Linked DNA regions of Saccharomyces cerevisiae S288C. The gene in region 1 interacts genetically with each later gene. Each region holds a gene or a part of one and is shown in the gene's direction. Other genes may lie near its edges.

Region 1 (7,738 bases):
GCTTGGGCCCCTTGGTTCTAACATCAAGTGACCCATATTTTTCAAAAAGGACCCCTTATTATATATGTTTTCCTCCTTGACCACACGATGGAATACAGGGTTTTTTTTCGATCCAATACCTTTCAAAAATTCCCTTGTTGTTTGCTGATTACCTGCCATAAATATGTGATAAGTAAACAGTATTGCCGGATACCATAAGGTTAGCCCTGCATAGCAAAGTAACAATATTGCAACGGGACAATCGCGAGGCCCCCCTGATTCCCGTGCAATATGGATGGCACAATTAGTTAATAATATGACGGACGAAAGTATTGCACCTAACAGGAATATTAAAAAGAACCGGTAGTTCCTTTTTCCTATGCAATTATTGACCCATATGCAATGGTGGTCATGAACCATTACGCAGACGTTACATGTGGAACAGTGAGAAGACCGAGGTGGTCTCCATATCCTACATGATGGACAATACTTGATAGTAATGTCTTTTGAAATTGAAGAATGTGTTGGTAGTGTTATCAAGTTGTAATATTCTTGCGGGATCTGATAATTATTTCTTAGTTGACTTAAATGAATATTTCTCGGAAGAACGCCAGGATCACTAGTGGCTGTTCTGATAAAGGATGCTAGCGTTATGACCCAAAAATAATAGAAGAAAATGACCAGCACTTTATAACCATTTTGGGTATGCCACAATTTGTGAGCCTCAAATATGGAGAAGAGAACCATGGGACATACAATAGCAAGGAGAACACCTAACCACAACGGTTTGGCGCCCTTTACTGTCCTGAACCTGCCACCAAGGAAGAATATATAATTCGAGACATTCGGTAACGATATATAACCTTTTCCATCGTTTATATCCTGATCACCCTCCAAGGTAACAAGCCATCGGAAGAACAACTTCGTCAATGAACCTTCTCCTGTATGCTCTTCCTTTGTTATTGAGGTGCTTTCCGATCTTGTCGACCTTCTAGAGACCAAGGCCATTATCTTCCCCGTTTCTCTTCTTGTTACCTTACGCTTTCTTTCCTTTACATTTTTATATTTGCAAACTGTAATCTTGATAAGGCGCTGCTCGCCAATTTCCGAGTAGTTTGACAAAATAAACACAAACTGTTTATGTACAAGAAACTAGGAAAACCAAACAGAGAATCTCAAGCAGAGAAATAAGGTAATGAAAGTAGGTGGCATAGAAGACAGACAACTGGAAGCCTTAAAAAGGGCGGCACTGAAGGCGTGTGAACTCTCCTATAGCCCCTATTCTCACTTCCGTGTCGGTTGTTCCATATTAACAAATAACGATGTTATCTTCACTGGTGCTAATGTCGAGAATGCAAGCTACAGTAATTGTATATGTGCAGAACGATCTGCTATGATACAAGTTCTAATGGCAGGCCATCGCTCAGGATGGAAATGCATGGTCATTTGTGGCGATTCTGAGGACCAGTGTGTTTCCCCTTGCGGCGTTTGCAGGCAGTTTATCAATGAATTTGTGGTCAAGGACTTTCCAATAGTCATGCTTAATTCCACAGGTTCTCGTTCTAAAGTCATGACAATGGGAGAACTGCTGCCCATGGCTTTTGGTCCATCTCATTTAAACTAGCAGCAATCTTTATTTGGCTGCTCCCCGAAAAGAAAGCGAAAATTTTTTACTTATTTTTTTTTTTTTTCATTTTTCATATAAAGAAGAAAAACTGATATTATTATTATTCATCCCAAGAACGCTATTGTGTATATTCCTAGCAAGAAAAAAATAAGCAAAAAAATTGTATAATGAGCACTGCAACTACAACAGTTACTACCTCCGATCAGGCTTCTCATCCTACCAAGATATATTGCTCCGGTTTGCAATGTGGTAGAGAAACTTCGTCCCAAATGAAATGCCCTGTTTGTCTAAAACAAGGCATCGTTTCCATTTTCTGCGACACAAGCTGTTATGAAAACAACTACAAAGCTCACAAAGCTTTGCACAATGCTAAGGACGGCTTGGAAGGTGCTTATGATCCTTTCCCAAAATTCAAATATTCTGGTAAAGTGAAGGCTTCATATCCACTTACCCCAAGAAGGTATGTCCCTGAAGATATTCCTAAACCGGACTGGGCCGCTAATGGGCTACCAGTCAGTGAACAAAGAAATGATAGACTTAACAACATCCCTATATACAAGAAAGATCAAATTAAGAAGATTAGAAAGGCATGTATGTTGGGTAGAGAAGTTCTTGATATTGCCGCTGCCCATGTCAGACCAGGCATCACTACAGATGAATTAGATGAAATCGTCCACAATGAAACAATTAAGAGAGGTGCCTACCCTTCCCCTCTTAATTATTACAACTTTCCTAAATCGCTTTGTACCTCTGTCAATGAAGTTATTTGTCACGGTGTGCCCGATAAAACTGTCTTGAAGGAAGGTGATATTGTCAATTTAGATGTTTCCTTATACTACCAAGGTTATCATGCAGACTTGAATGAGACATATTATGTCGGCGAAAACATTTCTAAGGAAGCTCTTAATACTACTGAGACCTCAAGAGAATGTTTGAAACTAGCCATTAAAATGTGTAAGCCAGGTACCACCTTCCAAGAGTTAGGTGATCATATTGAAAAACACGCTACCGAAAATAAGTGCAGTGTAGTAAGAACTTATTGTGGACATGGTGTTGGTGAATTTTTCCATTGTTCCCCAAATATTCCCCACTACGCCAAGAATAGAACACCTGGTGTTATGAAACCAGGTATGGTTTTCACCATCGAACCTATGATTAATGAAGGTACTTGGAAGGATATGACCTGGCCTGATGACTGGACTTCTACCACCCAAGACGGTAAACTGAGTGCTCAATTTGAACATACACTGTTGGTTACCGAACATGGTGTTGAAATCCTAACAGCCAGGAATAAGAAATCACCAGGTGGCCCAAGACAGAGAATTAAATAGATCTAGGTATTTTTATCTTATACATATAGAAACCAATAAAAAACTTGAACTTGTACTTTCCCGAGTCCGAATTGGTTATTATGAGAAGCTATTTTTTTTTTTTACCTCTTTTTATATGAATCAAGCGTACATAATTTTCTCTATAACTATTCTTCGACATCTATTTGGTCGTTAGGCTCTTTCTGTTCTTGTCCTTCTGCCCATTGTGTTATATCATCGACATACGATAATATGGTTTCTATACTGTCAGGATTATTAGATTCCAAAGGTAAAAATTGAACCATACCGAAATCATCGACGAGGTTGGCTATGCACTGGTTCAGTCTTAGAAATTTAGGGTTGGATGCTTGATTCATTCCTTCCGTTTCCATTAATAACATTGCATCGGGATTCAAAAATCTTTTCAGTTTTTTCTTATTGATGTCGCCTTTTATCAAGTCTAGTTTGCTCAACACATTGATATGGGGTAGTTCCAATAGAATCATCGCAGACATAGCAGATAGTGCACCGCTAAAAAATTTTGAGCTATCTATCACAAATGGCGCTTCCAAAAGATATGTGGCGCAAAGGTTGAAATTCAGTTGTTGAGTTAAATGGCGCACTATGTTCGGTAAGACAGGGATATGCGTGTAGAGTTCAATTTGACCGGGACAGTCAAAGATTAAATATTCATCGTTGAAATCCCCGATCTCTTCGTCAAGCCAGTCTAGATTTTTCAAAAGATATTCGAAGCAATATATTAGCGCACCATTGGGGCCCAAATCCATTTCTTCCATGACATCATCTAAGGAAATTAAATCTCTAATGTCAATAGTAAATTCATACTTGGTAGCTTCTGCGGCAGGGTCTAAATTTACAATATGAGCTCTTCGTCCTACAGTTTGCATATGTGATATAATGGAATTACAAAATGTGCTTTTCCCCGCACCTGCAGGTCCTAATACCATGACACCAACGCGAGACATTTTCCAATGCTGATTACTCTATTTGTACTTGTTAAGTTTTTTTCACGATCAGGATGACTTGCCAACCTCTTAATTATTGATCTTTCTTTTTTGATCTTTCACCTCATCATTTTAGATTTTTTGCAAAATTTTTCTTAGTATTTTTTCAGTTTAGGGACAGCGGGCCAAATTGAATAGCCCTATGTGAACAATTGATGATTCAGAAACATCAATGGCATAAATCAAGCTGAGAAATTCTTGTCATTGCATAGAAGGAAGGTTTGGTGCGTCAGTGAACGGATGAAGCGCATCAAAAAGTAGATATTAGCTGTGATAAACGATGATTTGCATAACGTGCATGCGGCCCGTAGATTCCCTTTATACAGTGTACTCGAATGACCACATTCAGCTGACAGATTGTCCATATTGCCAAGAGACAGTAGACAAATATGTTGAGATAGATAATGTCCTGTTATTCATTGATTTGCTTCTATTAAAAGCAGGTGCATATAGACACTTGGTATTCAATGCTTTGGAATTGCATCTCTCAAAATATCCGAAAAGAAAAGCGCTAAATGATTGCCAGTGTTTGCGTGACTATACGCAAGCTTTGTTATTTAACGTAAAGAACTGGTTTTGTAAATATGACCGGTTAAATCGCCTTTGGCTTCTACTATTATCATTCGAGATTTATTTAACTTGGGTTACTGAGGAGAGTAAATACATCTACTATTTGAACCGTAACAATAATGATGGTAAGCTCATCATGCTTTCAAAAAAATTACCAGAGAGCTTCAAATGGGACTCGGCAATCATGCGCAATACCATTACAAGTAAAGTGTTTACCTGGAGCCCACCAATACAATATCTTTACTTTGCAAGTTATTGTATTCTTGACGTTTCTTTATTCCACACCTTTACCCAGTATTTCATACTGAAAAAGTTGCATTGGAAGCACTATTCCGTTTCTTCAAAGGATGTCATATCATATACGATCTTATTATCGTACGGTGCCAAAATTTTTCCGATATTGATGTTGATATGGCCTTATGATACTCTAATTTCGATGAGTATCATTAAGTGGGTAGCTAATCTCTATATTATTGAATCGTTGAAGATTGTAACTAATCTTTCCTATTGGAATATCATAAAGATTTTTATAAGTGTGTCTTTATTACGATATTTCATGGTTAAGCCAATACTTATAGTTTTCGTGGCAAAGTTTAACTTTTCAGTTATTAAGAATTTAATACATCAGGAGTTTATACTACTACTACAGAAGTCAGGAACTTATTTATTGTTATAAGCAAATAAAAAAATATCCAGTATTACTTGTATCAAAAATCTTATTTTGGCATTTTCACAACAAAATATATAAATATAGAAATAGCACCTTGGGATTTCAATCCAACATCGGACCCTCTAATTCACTCACAGCGTAAGGGTATGCATACGACTCTTCCTCATTGGCAGAATTCACCGTAGAATTGTCTCTTTCGTACTCGCGAATTGAACTCAATGCGATATATTTTGACAACGGCAAATAGTTCTTCTCGAAATCATATAGGAAACATAATGTCACTACTGGAAGCGGGAAAAGGCAAGATGACAAAACCCATCCTCCTTCGAATCCTGCCAGTGTTCCTGTCATTGTTAATTGAAACAATAGCAATCCAACGATGATTCTTCTAAAAATTAATGGCCATACTTTTCCTGTAGAATGGGGCAAATGATCTGTGGCAAAAATCAATTGATATTTATAGACGTAAAACCCAATAATAAAGTACGCCAGCCCTGAAGTCAAAATTTTCGTGCTCATTACACTGTAGATCAACGTTATAATCAAAATCAGAATTGGCTGTGGTAATTGTAGTCCAAAGTTAAATATCGGTGGATTGTAAAGTTCATTCCGTTGCCTAGGTGTCTTAGCCTTGATTTTCACTAGAGGAAAGCCGATCAAACTACCAACTAATAACAACTTAAACGGGAACATACCAATACCTTGCAATATAATCAAATCGACATAGAATAAGGAGAACTCCTTCACAGATGTAGCAAGTTGATAAGCAATTTTGGTGGTATCGCTGAGGTACGCCCAGTAATTAGATGCTGTACCTGCCAATGTGAAAACTAAGAAAAGGTTGACAAAAATATAAAAGAAATTTTTTGAAACAAGTGAGATTTCCTCTTCGCTGTATGATACCAATCCTTGATAAGAAGTCAAATACTCGTAAAAATAGGGGATTCCAAAGTTAAGCAATGTGAAGAGATAGGTTGGTAATAGCCCCGTTACAATGTTAGCGGCCCACTGGTGATCTTTTAGTAGCTGCCCTACGCTTGGCCAGAATTTCGAAAGTGTTTTCAAATTTAGCAATGTGGCTAAGTATGATACAGGAATGACTAAAAACAAACTTGAAAGGCCTATAAATACGGTAGTAGAATAAACTTTTGTTAACCGGTCCTTTCTAGAAAGACAAACATGATCCCACTTGATATCGTGAGGTGCAGGAGCCAATCTGGTTATGAAGTAATGTACTCTAGGATCTAATACCGCCTGAGCTGCCATTTGCGCATTAGCAACAGAATCCATCGTAACGAATGCCGTAGGTGTTGCGGAGTAGTGTTGTTTCCTCGCTTCAATAATTTCAGCATCAATAAATTTTAATTGCTGCTCCAGGTACTCTATGGCATCTACTTCCTTCCCAAAGATACCACGATATCCAATTTTCATTTTTGGTCTCTCTCCAAGAGAAATTTGAGAATATAGTATAGTATCCTCGTCATTATTATTGCTTGATGGAACATTTTCTCCATGTGTAACTGCGCCTGATTGCTCGTTTCCCAATAAATGATAGTTCTCCGAATATGGTTGTCGAGTACGGAGCTCCCTTGGACATTCTGAATATTTTAATTCCAGGTTTTTGAGTATTTTCTTCCGACAATGAAATAGCTTGTTCAAAGGACCCCACTCTCGACAAATAGTGATTGATGAAACGGTGCCGATTTTTAATTGTTCAATTCTGGTCTTTAAGGCTTCCGAATCACGAAGCTCTATCGGGATGCCTGAGAGCCTTATCGTTCTATCAGTAATCGTATTTTGCTTCCCAAGATAAGCTTGCCTAGTACTTACGACGTGCTTTGTTTCCGCAACTGCCATTTTAATTGCTATGAAGGTGAAGAAATATGTGAAGAGAACATACATCCAGAGGTACACATTTGTACGTTCGGGAGCTGAATGATTGTCACCATCGCCACTTCCCTCCACAATTCTTTTTACCAGATGTATTAAAGAACTTTCACTGTCATCATCATCGTTGCCGTCATCAATTTTTCCAGTAAAATGATATCTTACTGGAGATATAACGCACACAGAGAAGAAACAAAAAATAGAAAGTAATTTGATGCACATTTTGAAAAAACTCAAAAACACATACGCATCTAAACCTGCATATTCCAGAATCTGTTCGTCCCGTATCTTATACAACACTGTTAACCAGCCGAATAAACTTGACTGATTCCAGGACGGTAAGCGAAGGTTCCCGTCATCTTTATATCGTCTGCTTGCGTATAATCTAGGCCACTTTTTTAGTAGAATTGAGAACGAAAGCAAAGCAAAAATACCTAGTGAAGTAGCAATAGTCAGTTGCGTCGTTACAACCTTGGCGGTGGGTTTTCTGAAATCATGATGCTCATCTGGAACTGTATCAAGATACGATGCTGCCGACTTGAGCCTTTCGATATATGATGTCATTCAGTACTGTTCTATTGTACCCAAAAAAGGCATTCAATGCTAATCTTGTTTGTTTAGCCTTCGTGCCCGCCATTATGTTAAAGTGTTGAGTTTTTCTGATTCACAA
Region 2 (5,173 bases), on another chromosome or scaffold:
GCGTTGAAAGATCGTGCAAAGGTTGAAAAATGGAAGTTGCACCGGCCTTATCGACTACTCAGTCGGACGTGGCGTTTCAGAAGGTGGAGACACATGAAATTGACAGGTCTTCATACTTGGGGCCATGTTATAATAGCGATGAGCTTATGCAACTTATCTCGGCTTATTACAATGTCGAGCCTCTCGTGGGTTATCTGGAACAGCACCCGGAGTACCAAAACGTGACCTTGCAGTTTCCTGACGATTTAATCAAGGACTCCTCGTTGATAGTAAGGCTGCTGCAATCGAAATTTCCCCATGGGAAGATAAAGTTTTGGGTTTTAGCTGACACAGCGTACAGTGCATGCTGTGTAGACGAGGTCGCTGCTGAACACGTACATGCAGAAGTCGTGGTACATTTTGGTGACGCATGTTTGAACGCCATCCAAAACTTGCCCGTGGTTTACTCATTCGGAACTCCATTTTTGGATTTGGCACTGGTGGTGGAGAACTTTCAGAGGGCATTCCCAGACTTATCCTCCAAAATTTGTTTGATGGCAAACGCACCCTTCTCTAAGCATTTGTCACAGCTGTACAATATTTTGAAGGGCGACCTGCACTACACAAATATCATATATTCCCAAGTGAACACCTCTGCGGTAGAAGAAAAATTCGTAACCATACTTGACACCTTTCACGTTCCCGAAGACGTAGACCAGGTGGGTGTGTTCGAAAAAAATAGCGTGCTGTTTGGTCAGCACGACAAAGCAGACAACATCTCGCCCGAGGACTATCATCTTTTCCATTTGACCACCCCACAGGATCCGAGATTACTGTATTTGTCTACTGTGTTTCAATCTGTTCATATTTTCGATCCGGCTTTACCTGGCATGGTAACGGGGCCATTTCCCTCTCTAATGAGGCGTTACAAGTACATGCATGTGGCAAGAACAGCGGGATGTATAGGTATTCTGGTCAACACGCTGTCGCTACGTAATACAAGAGAAACTATCAACGAGCTGGTCAAGCTTATCAAAACTCGTGAGAAAAAACACTATTTATTTGTTGTCGGAAAGCCAAATGTGGCCAAGCTAGCAAACTTTGAAGATATTGATATTTGGTGCATTCTCGGTTGTAGCCAAAGCGGTATCATCGTTGATCAATTCAACGAGTTTTACAAGCCCATTATTACACCTTATGAATTAAACTTGGCCTTGAGCGAAGAGGTCACATGGACCGGGAAATGGGTTGTGGACTTCAGAGACGCCATTGATGAAATCGAGCAGAATTTGGGCGGACAAGATACCATCTCTGCCAGCACAACTTCCGATGAACCGGAGTTTGATGTAGTTAGGGGAAGATATACTAGCACATCAAGACCACTGCGAGCGCTAACGCACCTGGAGTTAGAGGCGGCCGACGACGACGATTCCAAACAACTGACTACAAGACATACCGCCTCAGGTGCCGTCATTAAAGGTACTGTATCCACTTCAGCATCAGCACTGCAGAATCGTTCGTGGAAAGGTCTAGGAAGCGATTTCGACTCTACTGAGGTTGATAATACTGGAGCGGATATCGAAGAAGGTATTTCCGGTGTCGCACGTGGTTATGGATTTGATCGCGAAGACGCTATGAAAAAGGAAAACAAATGACTCTTATAATTTGTTTCCCTCGACTTCTCTATTTAAATCCAAGATTTTAACTAATAAACTATTTAATAATAAAACAATTAACTCTTTATATGGAAGCCTTGGAAATTAGCCGCCAAAATGGGATATACATTCCGTGCGAAGTGACCGCGTGGAAGGCCGGGTATCATCTTAAAAATCACTAGTTTCTTTTTTAGCGGAATGCAATAAAGGTGCTTTGTGCTGGTGTGGTTTACACGGAACATCTAGTAGCTAAAACTTGGTAACTCAATGGTGATCAGAATCCATAGAAGCATTTTTATTTCTTAAAATGGGTGCTGCTCCTTCCAAAATTGTGGATGGTCTTTTAGAAGATACAAATTGTATGTACACTTCGGAGTGAGGAAAAGAAAGAAAGGGGAAATTAACCGATTTTACTAACACTGACACTTTGAACAGTTGATAGAGATGAAATTGAAAGGTTAAGGAAGAGATTCATGAAATTAGATAGAGATAGCTCAGGGTCTATTGATAAAAATGAATTTATGAGCATTCCTGGCGTTTCGTCAAACCCTCTTGCTGGACGTATAATGGAGGTTTTCGATGCTGATAATAGTGGGGACGTGGATTTTCAAGAGTTCATCACAGGATTATCCATTTTCAGTGGGCGTGGGTCCAAGGACGAAAAGTTAAGATTCGCCTTCAAAATCTACGACATTGACAAGGACGGTTTCATATCCAATGGTGAGTTGTTCATCGTGTTGAAGATTATGGTAGGTTCTAATCTGGACGATGAACAGCTGCAACAGATAGTAGATAGGACGATAGTGGAAAACGATAGCGACGGCGACGGACGTTTAAGTTTCGAGGAGTTTAAGAATGCTATCGAAACCACAGAAGTGGCCAAGAGTCTGACATTGCAATACGATGTGTAAGACTAGGGGACACTTCATTCATTTATGGTATGCCAATATTTTTAAGAAAAGAAGAATAATACGCGATATTGTTTTTTAAGGAAGGAACGCACACTCGCCCAGTTAGAGTGCTGATGATATATACATATATATATGTATATGTAACAAACAATAAGAAAGCAATGATACAACATAGAGATGAGAGAGAGCATATATGTCAGCGACGAGATATACCAAGATGGAAGCTGATCTCATGTAATAACTGCGGGGTGTACTTTGATAATTTTTGGGATTCCATTGTTATTAATAGCTTTGATATCAGACATACAGAATACCAGAGATTTTCCTCAAAAATATGGCAATGCACAAAGGGGGATCAATAGTTATATAAATTAAGATTATTACTTCTTCTTTGTTTTATGTGTTGTTATTCACTATCCCACTGCATTATCAATCCTTACATATCAGCTTCCGTTAAACCCGATGACTATCTCTCAATCATCATACTATCTTCTTACACCGTATATGATAATTACCAGCAATACTAATGCTAGGAGACAGACCATCTTTGATTCCTATTCCAATAAAGTTAAACTGTGATATTGGTTTATTGGATAAGTTCATATCCTAAAACGTGTTGACAACACTTCGGGAGTTTCCAGTAAGTAAAATTTGTATGGAGGGTTGGCCGAGTGGTCTAAGGCGGCAGACTTAAGATCTGTTGGACGGTTGTCCGCGCGAGTTCGAACCTCGCATCCTTCAGTAATTTTTTTTTTTAATTTATTTTTGTGTTGCAAGCGTTGATCCTTTCCATTATGCAGCCATAAGAGGAGGCTGGATATGAATTATTTATTACCAATATAAGGAGCATGTACCGTTGATTTTGAAGAGCCAATTGCTCCAAATTTTGGATTTTGTGTTCGAAAAAGGGAAGATTGCTCCAAACGCAAATAAGGAGGAAACCCGCTGATTGCACTCTTGGAAAAATAAAAATAAAAAGTGGTCTCAGAATTGTTTCAAAAGTGGCACTGACACAATATTTACAGGCGTTGATAGCTTCTTGTTTTAACAATACGATTTAATCTCGGAGTAGTTAAGCCAAAGAATACGTGTTATCCGTAAGAGGCTTATTGCACGTAATCCCCAGTATAAATTATCCGCAAATCGAAGACAAATGTTTAAGAAATACAAAAATCAAGACTTGGACATGGCATTTTGGTGGAAGAAAAACCCCAAGACCCCTTCCGATTATGCCAGGTTGATCATCGAACAACTAAATAAATTCAGCTCACCCTCGCTGACTCAGGATAACAAACGAAAGGTACAAGAAGAGTGCACAAAATATCTAATTGGCACTAAACATTTTATTGTCGGTGATACGGATCCTCACCCAACTCCGGAAGCCATTGACGAGCTTTATACTGCCATGCATCGTGCCGACGTGTTCTATGAACTGCTACTTCATTTTGTGGATTTGGAATTCGAAGCAAGGAGAGAATGCATGCTTATATTCTCTATATGCCTTGGATACTCTAAGGATAATAAATTCGTCACAGTAGATTATTTAGTCTCGCAACCAAAGACCATATCTTTAATGTTGAGGACTGCGGAAGTTGCTCTACAACAAAAGGGTTGCCAAGATATCTTTTTAACGGTAGGGAATATGATTATTGAATGTATCAAATACGAACAACTTTGTAGGATTATATTAAAGGACCCTCAACTATGGAAATTCTTTGAGTTTGCGAAACTGGGTAATTTCGAAATCAGTACGGAATCTTTACAAATATTAAGTGCCGCATTTACTGCACATCCTAAATTAGTGTCTAAGGAATTCTTCAGTAATGAGATTAATATCATAAGATTCATTAAATGTATTAACAAGTTAATGGCTCATGGAAGCTACGTAACGAAAAGGCAGAGCACTAAACTGTTGGCCTCATTAATTGTGATAAGATCTAACAACGCGTTGATGAATATATATATCAACTCCCCAGAAAACTTAAAGCTCATAATGACTTTAATGACTGACAAATCTAAAAACTTACAACTTGAAGCTTTCAACGTATTCAAGGTGATGGTAGCAAACCCAAGGAAGTCAAAACCTGTTTTTGACATTCTTGTTAAAAACAGAGATAAACTATTGACGTATTTTAAAACTTTCGGTTTAGATTCTCAGGATTCTACTTTTCTTGATGAAAGAGAATTCATCGTTCAAGAAATTGATTCCTTGCCGCGTATAATTTCGTCCACAACAGAAGTTTCTAATAATAATGCATCCTCAAGTAACGTCGCCAGTATAACTTCTCCATCATCAGTAATGAACAATCAATCATCCATCTTAACACATTCAACTTCACCTGATTCAAGATAACTATAAAACTTGGTTCACTTTATAAAAAATGGAAAGTTCTCAGGCAGTGGGTCGTGACATGAATATTCAAAAGTAAAATTATATATAGGAAAGTGTTTATTTGCATAAAAAGGGAAAAATAGTTCAGACTTTTGTATTTTTACGTATTTATACAAAAAAAGGTTGGTACCGGAGGCTGAGGAAGCCAGTACAGTTGGATCCGGTACATGGAATTGAGCAATCAACCGTAAATATGAGCGCTTTCTCAAGATATTAAATTATTATAAAACAATTTA

Evidence for each region. A genetic interaction does not mean that the proteins touch.
Region 2: mutations in ARV1 (region 1) and CNB1 together harm fitness more than expected from each alone (negative genetic interaction), as found in Saccharomyces cerevisiae (4 studies listed by BioGRID).

Annotation. Positions count from the first base shown.
Region 1 is NC_001144.5:620,367-628,104, reverse strand, and holds ARV1 (sterol homeostasis protein ARV1), read left to right. Parts: upstream 1-4,221; coding exon 4,222-5,187; downstream 5,188-7,738. Other genes in the region: palmitoyltransferase ERF2, read right to left, coding at 1-987; CDD1 (cytidine deaminase), read left to right, coding at 1,175-1,603; methionine aminopeptidase MAP1, read left to right, coding at 1,774-2,937; putative signal sequence-binding GTPase GPN3, read right to left, coding at 3,084-3,902; CSC1 (Csc1p), read right to left, coding at 5,284-7,632. UniProt on the Saccharomyces cerevisiae protein: Mediator of sterol homeostasis involved in sterol uptake, trafficking and distribution into membranes. Also regulates the sphingolipid metabolism. Required for growth during anaerobiosis and sterol uptake.
Region 2 is NC_001143.9:81,006-86,178, forward strand, and holds CNB1 (calcineurin regulatory subunit B), read left to right. Parts: upstream 1-1,941; coding exon 1,942-1,993; intron 1,994-2,069; coding exon 2,070-2,545; downstream 2,546-5,173. Other genes in the region: DPH2 (2-(3-amino-3-carboxypropyl)histidine synthase), read left to right, coding at 30-1,634; HYM1 (Hym1p), read left to right, coding at 3,699-4,898.